Drosophila melanogaster: one gene and its partner. The protein of the gene in region 1 interacts with the protein of each later gene in a pairwise test. Each region holds a gene or a part of one and is shown on either strand. Other genes may lie near its edges.

Region 1 (5,753 bases):
AATCGAGGGACTTGGCGAAAGGTTTCTGGCCACTTCAAAGCTGCAGCATAGTGACCTTAACTGGTTTTCAAGAGCGGACCGCATTACATGCATTAAATTCAATAAGCCTTCGACGCAGATGGTTTTATTGAAATGTTCCGATCGATGCGTTTCTTTCCGATCGGATGTCTACCCCAATTTTCGTTGATTGGTGTAAAATGGGTCGGACGCGAACGCCTGATCAATTTGGGCCCTTAATGACTTATTACCGGCAGAAAATTGATTACAAAGTGCATATGCTGGAGAGGGATTTAAGAGGAGCCAAGGTGATGCAGAGTAAGCAGCTCCAGTGACGTTTTTCGTTGGTACCAGGCGGGCTCCCACTTGATGGTCATCTAAGTTGCTTACTGGGTGCTTTTGTGTAACTTGTAATTCTTAGATTTTTTCAATATTACGAATTTACTTTAACAATACAATATATAAATATATGTATAATATTTTGATTGACTAATGCCTGCTAATGAGCGAGATCCCTTACAAGACGTAAAGAAAAATGCGTTTCGATTTCTTTCAGCTTACAAATATTCAACAATTTATTTGATCTACAAACGGATTCAACAAATCAGTAGGAGAGTTCCTCAGTGGTGCTGGTGGTAGGCCACTGGGATAGGGGCAGCAGCCACGGCCACAGGAGCCACGGTCTTCACCACGGTCTTCACGTGATCCAGGGGAACGCGGTTGACGACGGCGTTGAAACCGTTGACCGGGTCGGAGGTGTACTGGACAATGCGCTTGTAGCCATCGGAATCGATCAGGGAGTACTCGCCATGGACCACGTCGCCATCACGCTCCTCAACCTGACTCTTCGAGTCTCCGGAAAGGGAGTCCTGGACATCGTAGGCGAACTTGTACTGGGGATGGGGATCGTATTCCTCGGTGGCCTTGGTCAGAACCGGCTGGGCGTGGGCAACGGCGACAGGTGCTTGGGCGTAGGTGGCCACGGCGGGGGCGGCGTGATACACCTGCTGGACGGGAAGAACTCCGGCACTGGCGGCCGAGATGAGGGCGAGAACAGCGAAGAACTGTGGGAGAAAAGAGGGGTAATTGAAAGGATCGGATATTCATGTAAGGATTACCCACCTTGAAGGCCATGGCTCTGGACTTGGAGGAGGGCTGGTGGTGGTTATCCGTTAACTGCTGCGAAGACGGTGAAGCTGTGGAATGATTTACTGGAACACGAGCTTTGCTTTTTATACCCACTGAACGTGTGCAAAGCAAAATGCGAATAACGAATTGAAACTGATTAATTCGCTGTTGGGCAAATCATTTTTGTCACTTTTTATTTTATACATTTATTATTGTATTACCGCTATGCTATTTACCTTATTACTTTATCGACTGGAATATGGGCACTTACAACTGCCCACGCCGGGGGCCAGAGATACTTTTATGCAATCCGCATCCAAATCTAGTGCGGCTTAGTGTCTTGGGAGAGACCCTCGGATTTTGGTGCCTATTGCGAATTAAATGCTTTCACCATTCTGCCTTGAGTGGTATATCATGTTACCGGGCAGCTCAAAACGCTTGGAACTGACCTACACTGATTACATACTTTGAATTGAAAAGCACATTAGACGATAATAATAAATATATTTCAATGCACACTTCAAGAATCAAGAATAAGTTAGTCTGCTTAAAAGCAAACTGATGGATTAAATAAGAGTTTTTACGGATACTAGTCAAATCATGGGAACAATTAAGAAAGCTTTGAAATATGCTTGAACTGAATTTCAATTGAGTTGGTAAAAATATAACTTAATTTCTAAGCCCAAATAAAACCACAATTCAAATTAACATATCAAATCACATTTTATTATCATAGAAACAAAACAAGGGTTCAAAATAACAGCGGTCGCATGGGTGTTTACAATTGGGCGACGGTGTACGCAGGGGCGGTGTACCGCAGAGGCGTGGCATAGGCAGCGGTACGCAGAACGGGAGCGGGAGCAGCCACCGCCAGAGGGGCGGAGCGGACGAACGGAGCGGCAACTGCTAGGGGAGCGGACTTGATCAGAGGAGCAGCGACGGCCACTGGAGCGGAGCGCACAATGGGAGCTGGTGCGGCCAAGGCGACAGGGGCGATGGGGGCGACTGGAGCGGCCTTGACCAATGGGGCAGCAACCTTCAGCAACGGCTCGGCGGCCACAACAGCGGCAAGGGGTTCACGGCGGACGACGGCGTTGAATCCGTTAATGGAATCGGCGGTATAGGTCACGGTGCGCTTAAAGCCATCGGCGTCGATCAGGGAGTACTCGCCGCGGACCACGTCACCATCGCGCTCCTCCACATGCCCCTTGTTGTCGCCGGAAAGCGTGTCCTGCACGTCGTAGCTGTAGGTGTACTGAGGATGCGGATCAACCTCCTCCAACTCAACGGTCTTGGCCAAAACTGGCACCGGAGCAGAAGCCACTGCCACTGGAGCAGCAGTTCTAAGGACGGCGCCATGGGCCACGGCGAACAGAGCCAAAGCGATAACAATCTGCGGAATAAATTACACTCTTTTTAGGATTTTTTTTTCCAAGATAAAAAGGCGAAGGCAGTCTGGTAATCCACTAGTAGTCCCCCGGAACGTTTATCCTCCAATTGGTAGCACAAACCTTTGCTGCCATTGTAGTTGGATGAATTTGATTAACTGCTGTCTTGAGCCGAAGCCAAACACTGAATGTCTGACCCATTGTGGGCCGTTTATTTTATACGCTACTTGGTGACATTGATGACACCTAATTGGAATTCATTTTTGGCGCATCACCTCGAGCGGCGCCGGTGGCATGTAAAAATTGTCACGCACCTTCTTCAGTTCTGCCAATTTCGATCGGTCGAAATAACCAGCTGCACTTAATTGATTACGCCAAGCCAATTTTAATTACTATTTTCCTTAAACTTGGAGTCTTCTTATTCAATTTTGTTGTTTTTCTTTTGGAAAGTACAACAAAGTAAGTGTGTATAATTGAACCCATTTTTTATAAAAAGGGAATAAAAGTTCTGATCTTATTTGTTTAAATATTTGCTAGTCAAATTATTAAATACGTTTTGAGTTTGTATCCATAGGTTTGTCTTGGTGAGGTATAATGAATATTTTATGTTGGGATCATAATTTGATTATTATGTATTTAAAACACATTTCCTACAAAGTTGTATAATTTTATTAACCTACATAAAATATTACAAATATGTTACAAAAAAAAGTTTTAAGCATGTTAAAAAGCTGTTCGCCTGTGAACTATCTTCAAATTTTGGAAACCAAAGGTGGGTGATAAAAAATAATAATTTTAATTTAATAAAGCTACGATAATTTAGATGTTTTGAGTTAATATCTTTTTAAGCGACCTTTTTGCCACAATATTAACTGTCTTGTAAGCTAACTGGATTTAGTAAGCAGTGATGTCACAGCGCACGCTCTCCGTTTCTCTCGGATAAATTGAAGTTATTTGATGACAAAACACAGAGATACAAAGATTGAGCACGCCTTCAAGCTTCACTTTTCCCTCTCCACACACGTTTAGCATAAATGAATTGCACTAATTACGCCAAGAGCGTGGCCCGCCGGCAAAAGCGAGTTCGGCCATTCAATGGTAGCAGCAGCTGAAGAAATAGCTCCATCTCGGTATATAAGCCAAGTGTTGGCCCAGTAGCCCTCACAGTTCATTTTGCCTTCCAACAACCAACAGCAGCAGCAGCAGCAGCCAAATCAATCCAAATCAAAATGGCATTCAAGGTTCGCCCCGAGGACTTAGCCCCGCCAAAGACCCACATCCTAACTGCTTTCCCTCTTTCAGTTCATCGCCCTCTTCGCCCTGATCGCCGCCGCCAGCGCCGGTGTTCTGCCCGTCCAGCAGGTGTACCACGCCGCCCCCGCCGTGGCCACCTACGCCCAAGCACCTGTCGCCGTTGCTCACGCCCAGCCGGTTCTTGCCAAGGCCGCCGAGGAGTACGATCCCCATCCCCAGTACAAGTACGCCTACGATGTTCAGGACTCCCTCTCCGGAGACTCCAAGAGCCAGGTGGAGGAGCGCGATGGCGACGTGGTCCGCGGAGAGTACTCCCTGATCGACGCCGATGGCTACAAGAGAACCGTCCAGTACACCGCCGATCCCATCAACGGATTCAACGCCGTTGTCAACCGTGAGCCCCTGGTCAAGGCCGTCGCCGTTGCCCCCGTTGTGAAGACCGTCGCCGCTCCCGTTGCCCACTACGCCGCCCCTGCTGTCGCCCATTACGCTGCTCCCGCTGTGGTCAAGACCGTGGCTCCGGTTGCCCACTACGCTGCTCCCGCCGTGGTCAAGACCGTGGCTCCAGTTGCCCACTACGCCGCTCCTGCTACCTACACCTCCTACGCCGCCCCCGCTGTTGCCTACCACCACTAAGAACTGTCATTTTACGTTTCTCAACCCATTACTGTTATAGTTTTACAATTGCCTCCTACAAATACACACAAATATTAAAAAAAATTTTTTTTTTTATTTTCATCTATTGATCATCTATTTTCATCAACGGCAGCTGAAACAATTTCGGATTTGTTTTATCCGGATAAAATTGAGTCAAGGAGATAGCGTCTTCATTAATGACATTCTAATGTGTTTCAATTAGATGTGTTAGCCATATTTAATACCTATAAAAAATACTGCAAAATCTTTACAAAAATAAAAAAAAAATCTCAAATATTTTGTTTAAATAATATGTGCAATTTTAAAACCATCAGCTTATATTTTTGATTGCATTAGATATTTTTATATTGATAGGGTATTGATGAAGTTATGATTAAAACTAACAGAGTCAACATAAAAAAGTTAATTCTTGAGAGTTATAGATATAACAATATTATTTTAAATATTTTTTTAAAAATGTATGATATGTTTATACCCTGCGCGTCTATCTAATCAAACTAAGCTTAATAAAATATGCAGTTGATAATAGACTATCAGATACGCTTTAGATATCATCAGCAAGTTTTATAAGTTCGATATCTCGTAGTTCATATGAGCAGACTGACACACAGGGAGCCGGATCCTGATGAAAATTACACAAATCTTATAGTTTCCGGAACGCTTTCATTCGCAAATAACCAGAGCATAATTCAAGCTAATTAGGTTCACCTAAGGTAGATTCTTTAAGCTTTAAAAAAGTATACCATAATTTTTGAGCGTATTTAACAAAATATCACATGTTGTGATTTCAATGGGATCCAAGGTGGGCATTGGCCAGTGCCGAGGCTGTCGATTATTATCCCCCGTGTGCCGGCACTCAACCGTTGCCAAAGCCAAGCCCAAGTCGAGCAACCCAGCTGGCCAACAAAGAGGAGCGAAAGGCCAAGAGGTCTGGCTAATGTGGTTGCGCTAGACCTTTGTGTGGGAAATGTGGAGCAAATTATTTGTTGGCCGCAATTGGACACACATATTTCGGGTCCGAGTCAGCGGCAGAGCCTGTATAGTCGTATAAGTAGTTGTTGTCGGACTTGATACCAGCAAATATGTCCCAAGTAATTTGAGATTCAATTTGTGTGCGACATTAAAATTGCAAAAAGTGCGATTGTTGCTACCGGATATTTTGGCAAGTCTAAAAACCGGTCTCGATTTACCCCTCTCCATTGAAGTGCGAAAATCGAGCACGGACAAATATTCGCGCTAAATTACCACGCTAATCATGACCAATCGGGAAATACTAGCCAAGTGCTTAAAATGTAAATCTCACACTTCATAAAATTAATGTCAATTGTT
Region 2 (7,458 bases), on another chromosome or scaffold:
TGCCCCAGCAAGCAATCAGTTTCAAATTACTTGTTTCAAACATAAGCTTATGCAATCCAGGGATATTGAAATTGTGCTCGACTTCAATAAAACGTAATATAAATAGTATCTTATTGGCAATAATATTATATATGATAAGTTTTTTTTTTTTTTTTTGACTTTGCCTGTTTCCAAAATATCAAATGCGTATACATATACGTGAAAATTCCGACTAAAATTTAATTAAGCGCTTAGTTGCGGCGGCTGCAGAATCAACAGGTTCTGCACAATTTCCAAAGGCTTAGCAATAATTTATTGAATTTTCCCTTATATGGAGGGCATCCTGAAATTTGGGTCATTTCGGCGAAAAGGCAGTGAGTAAATTTATTGCCGCAAAAGGAGGCGACAGTGGCCCACATGGAAAATTACAAGGAGTAAAAGGACTAACGAAAAGGATAACAACGAGAATGGTTTCAATTTATAAAACAACAACTGAGAAGTAACTTATTTTCAAAGTTTTGTCATAACATTTAATTGCATTAAAAAGATGAATGCATATCACAATTTGCGTATGGCAAGCGAGAGTGTTTGAATTATCTAAGAAATTTCAGCTAAATCCAATTATATACTTTTAAAAATGTAATAAACAAGCAACTTCGACCAATAGAAAGCTGTATCCAAACAAAGTTTATTCACCAGCCAATGACATTATTAGTGCAAATGATTTTATGTCATTCGTTTAAAAACCGGTCAAAAGTGCTAAGCTAATATGGCATAAATAATATATGCAAGTATTGTATAAACATGGTAATTTATATTTGTAGCAGAAAAAATGGTATGCTTTACATATAAATATTTTAACTTAACTATTTATACTTTTAGAAGTTTTAGAAACCTTCATAAGTTAAGTTTAAACCAACAGACATAGTATAGTATAATAATTGCGCACAATTGTAGCATACTTTTAGACAGTTCTTCGTGTGCTTTAATAACTCTGATGATATATTACAAATATATGGACCATTTTTCAGAAACACACCACCCAAGCAATTCCCAAGCATAAGGAACTTGAAGAGTTGAGAATGCACATTTTAAATACATTGTGGCATACTTTTGGGCACCTTGATGAGTACTTCTCCAGGCCAAGTGGCTGGTCGCATACATATGACAACATCTTACCAACAAACACAACTCAAGTCGCATAATTTAAAGCCCCAAGATGAGATGAGCCCCCATGATGATGATGAAGGGGCGATGAAGATGAAGATGAGTAGATGAGCTGAGGTCCCTAACTACTGGTGTATCCTGTTAATCTATTCTCCGGATGGCCACATATTTCCCTCGCTGTCGTGGGCGTCCACGGCCGAAACGGACTCAGAATCAGTCTCAGATTCAGTCTCAGATTCAGTCTCAGATTCAGATTCAAATTCAGAAACAGAATGCGAAACAGAAACCTTGGGCAGACACACCAGACAGCGGCAGCTGACAGGAAAATAAATAAATAAAGGGATGAAAATTAAGGACGCGAGAGTCGTGGTCGTCGGCTGGCTGGCTGACTGGCTGGCTGGCTGGCTCTCCAAAGACCGAATGCGCAGCCTCCGACTAGACGGCATTCCAAAGATGGGAACTGCAGACATGTGTGCGGATGTGGATCTGTGGGCCAATAAAATGAGTTATTCCTCTTGCCAGCCACACAATTTTTTGTCTGCTGACTAATGATTGCACTCATTGTGCAACTTTGCCAATTAAAACTTGATTAAAACTATTCCCGATCAAATGGAGTAACAACAGCACGGAAAGCTGAAGCTCCATCGTATAGTGTTTCCCAATTTATTCGTTTTGACAAAACTTTCATTATTATGTTTCTCAAAAAGTTGGCTCACTCCATGATACCGACAAGTTTTTTTGGCAGTATCTGACTCACTAGCATTGGGCAGCATTTTGTAGTTTTACACACGCAGAAAAGATTTACTCATACAAAGCCGCGTTTTGTAAATGATTTCAACTGTTGTGAATTCTGAATATCCTGACTATTTATTGAACAGGCAACAAGTCAAGCCTTGATTGATTATATCAAATCGTAGGTCATGGCTTCTAATCTGGTGCAGAGCCATAAGTTTGCCACTCGAAGAAAAATTCAAGGATTCCGGAAACTAATCAAATACCAAATGTTTGTTAACAGGATATGAAAAAATAATGTTTTCCCTAGCATAACCAGTTTTAAAAGATTTTTTTCAGTCCGTTAAATGTATGCAAAGAAAACTGTATTGTATTCAAACCATTCATCTTTAGTTTCCCTCACAAGTTCATTCCTTTTTCTTCGTGTGTATAGCAGCATTGTTATTTGACCTAATCTGTGTCTTTGCCCCATTGTTTTGCCGCGTTTTGATTTGTGCCCCCAATAAGTCCATCTGGAGTCAATGTGCTACCAAACGATAGGGAAGTTCGAGCTTCGAAGGATGCGTGGTGGTAGGTAGGGCGATCTAATCGCGGAGCTCTTCTCCTTTATGGATCAGCAAACATTTGGGCGTTGTCACACTCGCGAATGCGGAATTCCGACACCATTTCTTTGATTGATAAACAAATTGCCCGCTGCTTGTTTACTTTACTGCCAGCGCAGATTTCTCACGAGTTAACCAACCATTAAACGAGAACTCACAAACTCAAGGACTCAGCAGGGGGAATCATCCTGGAATCACTTTGCCATCATCTCAAATCCGGTTACGTGTTTCGTTTGGCTGGCATGGGATTATGCGGTGGATTTAATTGTTTAAAAACAATCGAAAGCACTGGGGCACGTTGAGATTTGAATTGCCGTGCACAACTGCGGGTGGTTAGATGGGTCAATGGCAACGCATGCCCAGACCCCCAAATAATTGTGAACAAATGTGTCTTCAGTTGGCGTTGGTGGAGGAGCGCACCATTGCAAGCGACGCTGAAAAAGGCGATGATGTCCTGACACACTTCGAATTGCCAGAGTCCTTTTGCCAAAAAAAAAAAAAAAAAAAAAATTCCAAATTCCTTCGCATGCCAATGGAGCGGCATGGACAGAGAAGGGATGACGAGATGGAGAGACGGTGAGACGTCGAGATGGAGAGAGGATATCCAGATATGCATTGGAATACAAAGTGTGGGATAAAAGCATTTCTGTATCGCTATTATTCATTGGTCATGCGCAGTCAGCCGCGCCTCATTTCCGCTCGAGAGTCGGGAGTTGGACCATATTCGCAATAATAGTAAGTATGTTGGGCATGTGGTGTGTGTTTTGGACCAAGTATACATTTTCCCCTCCCCCGTATAATTACGGCCATAAAGCAATCCAACTATCCAGCTAGCCAAACTATTTCAGTTCCATCTGCCAGAGTTTGGAATCCTTGAGGCCATGTACATATACCGAAATATACTATATATATATATATATATGCATGGGATGTGTAGCGATTTTTGATAGATATAAAATACATAAACGTAATTGCGGTACTCACCAATGGAAATTCGGGAAATTCGAAAAAAATCAAAACCAGAATCCATTGAAACAGTAGTTGGAGAGTAGTTATGAATTATTTGTTATCCGTTTTGCGTTTAAGTTTGCTTTTAAGTTTACATTGTACTGCTTTATGAACACACTCAGTTTGTTATTTTGGCCAAACAGTAAAAAAAATATGCAAAAAATTTTCATAAAATATGTATTTTATGATCTTTTCATCCTTACGCCATCAGCATATACATATACACGCATATATGTGCACATATATAGACATATATATATATTTATTCTATTTTTGTATTTTCCATATTTGATTTGAATGTGCTGATTTAGTAGCCGATTTTAGAGCTGCGTTGCGTTGCGTTTCGTTACGTTACTATATCAAACATTTGATTCTGAGTAGTTATTTGTTGGGTTTTCACATTTTGCCCACCCGTTCGGCATTTCGTTTTTCCTCTTTTCTTTTACTTTTTTCCATATATATATATATATACATATATATATACGCGTATGTATATATATATATTCTAAGTTCACGGTGTGTTGGGATTTGAAAACGAATTTCTTTGTTAATATATATATATATATATATATATATGTATATACTTTTGCCTGGGCTGGTTGTTCAGTTGTGTTTCTGGGGTATTTGTTGGATCTTTTTGGGCGCCGACTCGGGGATTATTCCTCAATAAACTATTGCTCCGCTGGCTGCGAACTATACGGCTATTTCCTGCATCTGCACTCTTTTCTGCTGCTTTCGTATTTCGTTTTGTTTGTTTGTTTGTTTTTTTTTTTTTTTGGTTTTTGTATGTTTTTTGTGTTTTTTGTATTAATTTATTTTATTTTTTTATTGCTGCTGCTGCTTCTTCTATTAAAAACTATCGCCGTGTCTCGTGCCTCGCTAACCGCTTTCCGCAATTGCAAACAACGTTCTAAAGCTCTCGAACACGTCTGCAGGATTTTGGCCAGGCGAAAAACGATTGCCTCCAACCGGAGGCAAACCAGGCAGCCAACCCAGTCGACCAGCCATTCTTCAGTCAGCCAAATACGACGCAGTCGCAGAGCACCGGAATCTCAACTGGGAGATTCCCAATCCCGGCCATCCCATCCCATACCAATATATCTCAAACCAAGCCCAGCCGAGTGGCCACATCTCTCGCTCTCCGCTTCTATTGTCACGTCACAATTCAGCATCTTGGCTCTCTCGGGCTGTGTGGGCCACATCCTTTTGGTCCTCGGATGGATGTTGGTTGGTGTTCGGCACTCAGCCGCTGGCTCTCTCGCCGAAAGTCGGTAAAAAAAAAATCCACTCCTTGGCCCCAACGAGTCTTACAATCCGGGTACGTCTGTTTATGTCCGTTATGTGGAGCAAAAGGGTATATTGTATTCGTGCAAAGGTGCGTAATTGTAAAAGGAAGTGTAGTATACACCTACGCCTCTACATACGTTTCCATCTAGCCGTGTCTGTCTGTCTCTCTGTATCTCTGTCTGGCTGCCTGTCTATCTGGCCGTCGAGATCTTGGCCAGAACAATGGACAGAGAACTGGGTCCACACTGTTCCACGCCACAGATTGGCCACGCCCCCGTCGTCTAATTGAATGAAGCTATATCCTTCTTACGCCCAGCTAGCAGTGACCTGATTTAAATTAACTGGTTTCGAAATGAAGTTTGGGCGAATGAAAGCCTAAAAATAAATACAGACCGCATTGTTAGCCAACATACATAAATGGAAAATCATGGAAAATTACAATGAAATAATATGTATAAGAAATTGAAAAAAAAATATATATATATCTAAAAGTGTTACGGATTTCAGGCGCAGGTTGCATGTTTATACTTTTAGTTTTGCTTTTTAATTTGAATATATTAAATTGAAAACAAAATTGAAATATGTGCACCTGTTTACCTGTTTATTTTTCGAGAGCAAAACGCACTTTGTTCTTCAAAATAAAGCAAAATTAAAATACACACAAGTAGTATAGTTTAATGGATTTCACAGGCACACACCTCCTTGGAAAATGCGTTTGATCAAAATTTCATATTCGGCACTTAATGAGGTGGTAAGTATATGCCTTGTGTGCAAACGCTTTCTAAAATATTTACTGTGCAATTAGGGTAAATGATTAAAAAAGTGGTAATTTTAGGGCGCAGTTGGTAAGCTATAAATGAAAGAAATGCCTTAAGATGTACCTAGTGCTGTGGCATTTATCAGATAGTCATGTTCTATTCGTATCCCTACAAAGCACTTAGCTTTCCCATTCAGTGCGTTTGGCTGAAACTGAATGGTTCTTGGCCATTAACCGAATCATCGAGGCCATGGAGGAGCCAATCCTTATTGGCCACCGCCTACATCGTGTGGGCGTGGTACGTCATTGCATCTGTGGGCATAACAATCAGCTATCAGACGGCCTTTTTGCTGAACAACCTTTCGGACATTATTATCACCACGGAAAATTGTTGCACCACCTTTATGGGTGTCCTGAACTTTGTCCGACTCATCCATCTTCGCCTCAATCAGAGGAAATTCCGCCAGCTTATTGAGAACTTTTCCTACGAAATTTGGATACCTAAGTGAGTCGATTCATTAGGGTTATTATAAGCGATGTTAAATGATCATCGCATTAAACTGCAGAGCATTGAAAACTATAGAGGTTTGCAATCTTACTTGAGTAAATGCGCAGAAAAGTGTGCTACATTGTTGTGTGCAAAAGAGCAAACTTTGCTTTCTAAGCATGCTTTTGGACACTTAAAGTGGTTTTGAGATAATATAGACTTTTGAGTAACTATACCCATCTTCAAACTGTATTTGTAAGAAAATCTTTATTTACATATATAAATATATGATGGGTTCCAGTTCTTCCAAAAACAATGTTGCCGCCGAGTGTCGCAGACGCATGGTTACCTTCAGCATAATGACATCCTTGCTAGCGTGCCTGATCATAATGTATTGTGTCCTGCCGCTGGTGGAGATCTTCTTTGGACCCGCCTTCGATGCACAGAACAAGCCGTTTCCCTACAAGATGATCTTTCCGTACGATGCCCAGAGCAGTTGGATCCGATATGTGATGACCTACATCTTCACCTCCTACGCGGGAATCTGTGTGGTCACCACCTTGTTTGCAGAGGACACCATTCTTGGCTTCTTCATAACCTACACTTGTGGCCAATTTCATTTGCTACACCAACGAATCGCAGGTTTATTTGCGGGTTCCAATGCGGAATTGGCCGAGAGCATTCAGCTGGAGCGACTCAAACGTATTGTGGAAAAACACAACAATATTATCAGGTTGGTATCGTGCCAATATTCAATTACAATGATTCTATTACAATGATCCTATTACAATGATTCTATTACAATGATTCTATTACAACGATTATATTACAAATATTCTATCACAACGATACTATTACAATGATTCTATTACAATGATTCTATTACAACGATACTGTTACAATGATTCTTTTACAACGATTCTATTACAATGATTCTATTACAATAATTCTATTACAACGATTTTATTACAATAATTCTATTACAACGATTTTATTACAATGATTCATTTCAATGATTCTTTTACAACGATTTTATTACAATGATTCTATTACAATGATTCATTACAATGATTCTATTACAACGATTCTATTACAATGATTCTATTACAACGATTTTATTACAATGATTCATTTCAATGATTCTATTACAACGATTTTATTACAATGATTTTATTACAATGATTTTATTACAACGATTCTATTACAACGATTCTATTACAATGATTCTATTACAACGACTCTATTACAATGATTCCATTACATGTTACTTTGATTTTGCCAATAGTTTTGCTAAGCGCCTCGAGGACTTTTTCAACCCAATTCTACTGGCCAATCTAATGATTTCCTCCGTACTTATTTGCATGGTTGGCTTTCAAATAGTTACTGTAAGCATTGGCAGTAAATATTTTAATATAATGACTAGCTTTTCTTTCTAAACT

Evidence for each region.
Region 2: the proteins of Ccp84Ae (region 1) and mmd interact in a two-hybrid assay, tested with the Drosophila melanogaster proteins (one large-scale study listed by BioGRID).

What each region holds. Positions count from the first base shown.
Region 1 is NT_033777.3:6,689,056-6,694,808, forward strand, and holds Ccp84Ae (Ccp84Ae), read right to left. Parts: upstream 2,704-5,753; 5' UTR 2,649-2,703; coding exon 2,637-2,648; intron 2,519-2,636; coding exon 1,904-2,518; 3' UTR 1,832-1,903; downstream 1-1,831. Other genes in the region: Ccp84Af, read right to left, coding at 618-1,061, 1,120-1,131; Ccp84Ad, read left to right, coding at 3,743-3,754, 3,816-4,403.
Region 2 is NC_004354.4:15,968,741-15,976,198, forward strand, and holds the start of mmd (mind-meld), read right to left. Parts: upstream 4,328-7,458; 5' UTR 3,465-4,327; intron 1-3,464. Other genes in the region: Or13a (odorant receptor 13a), read left to right, coding at 5,685-6,037, 6,321-6,752, 7,305-7,404.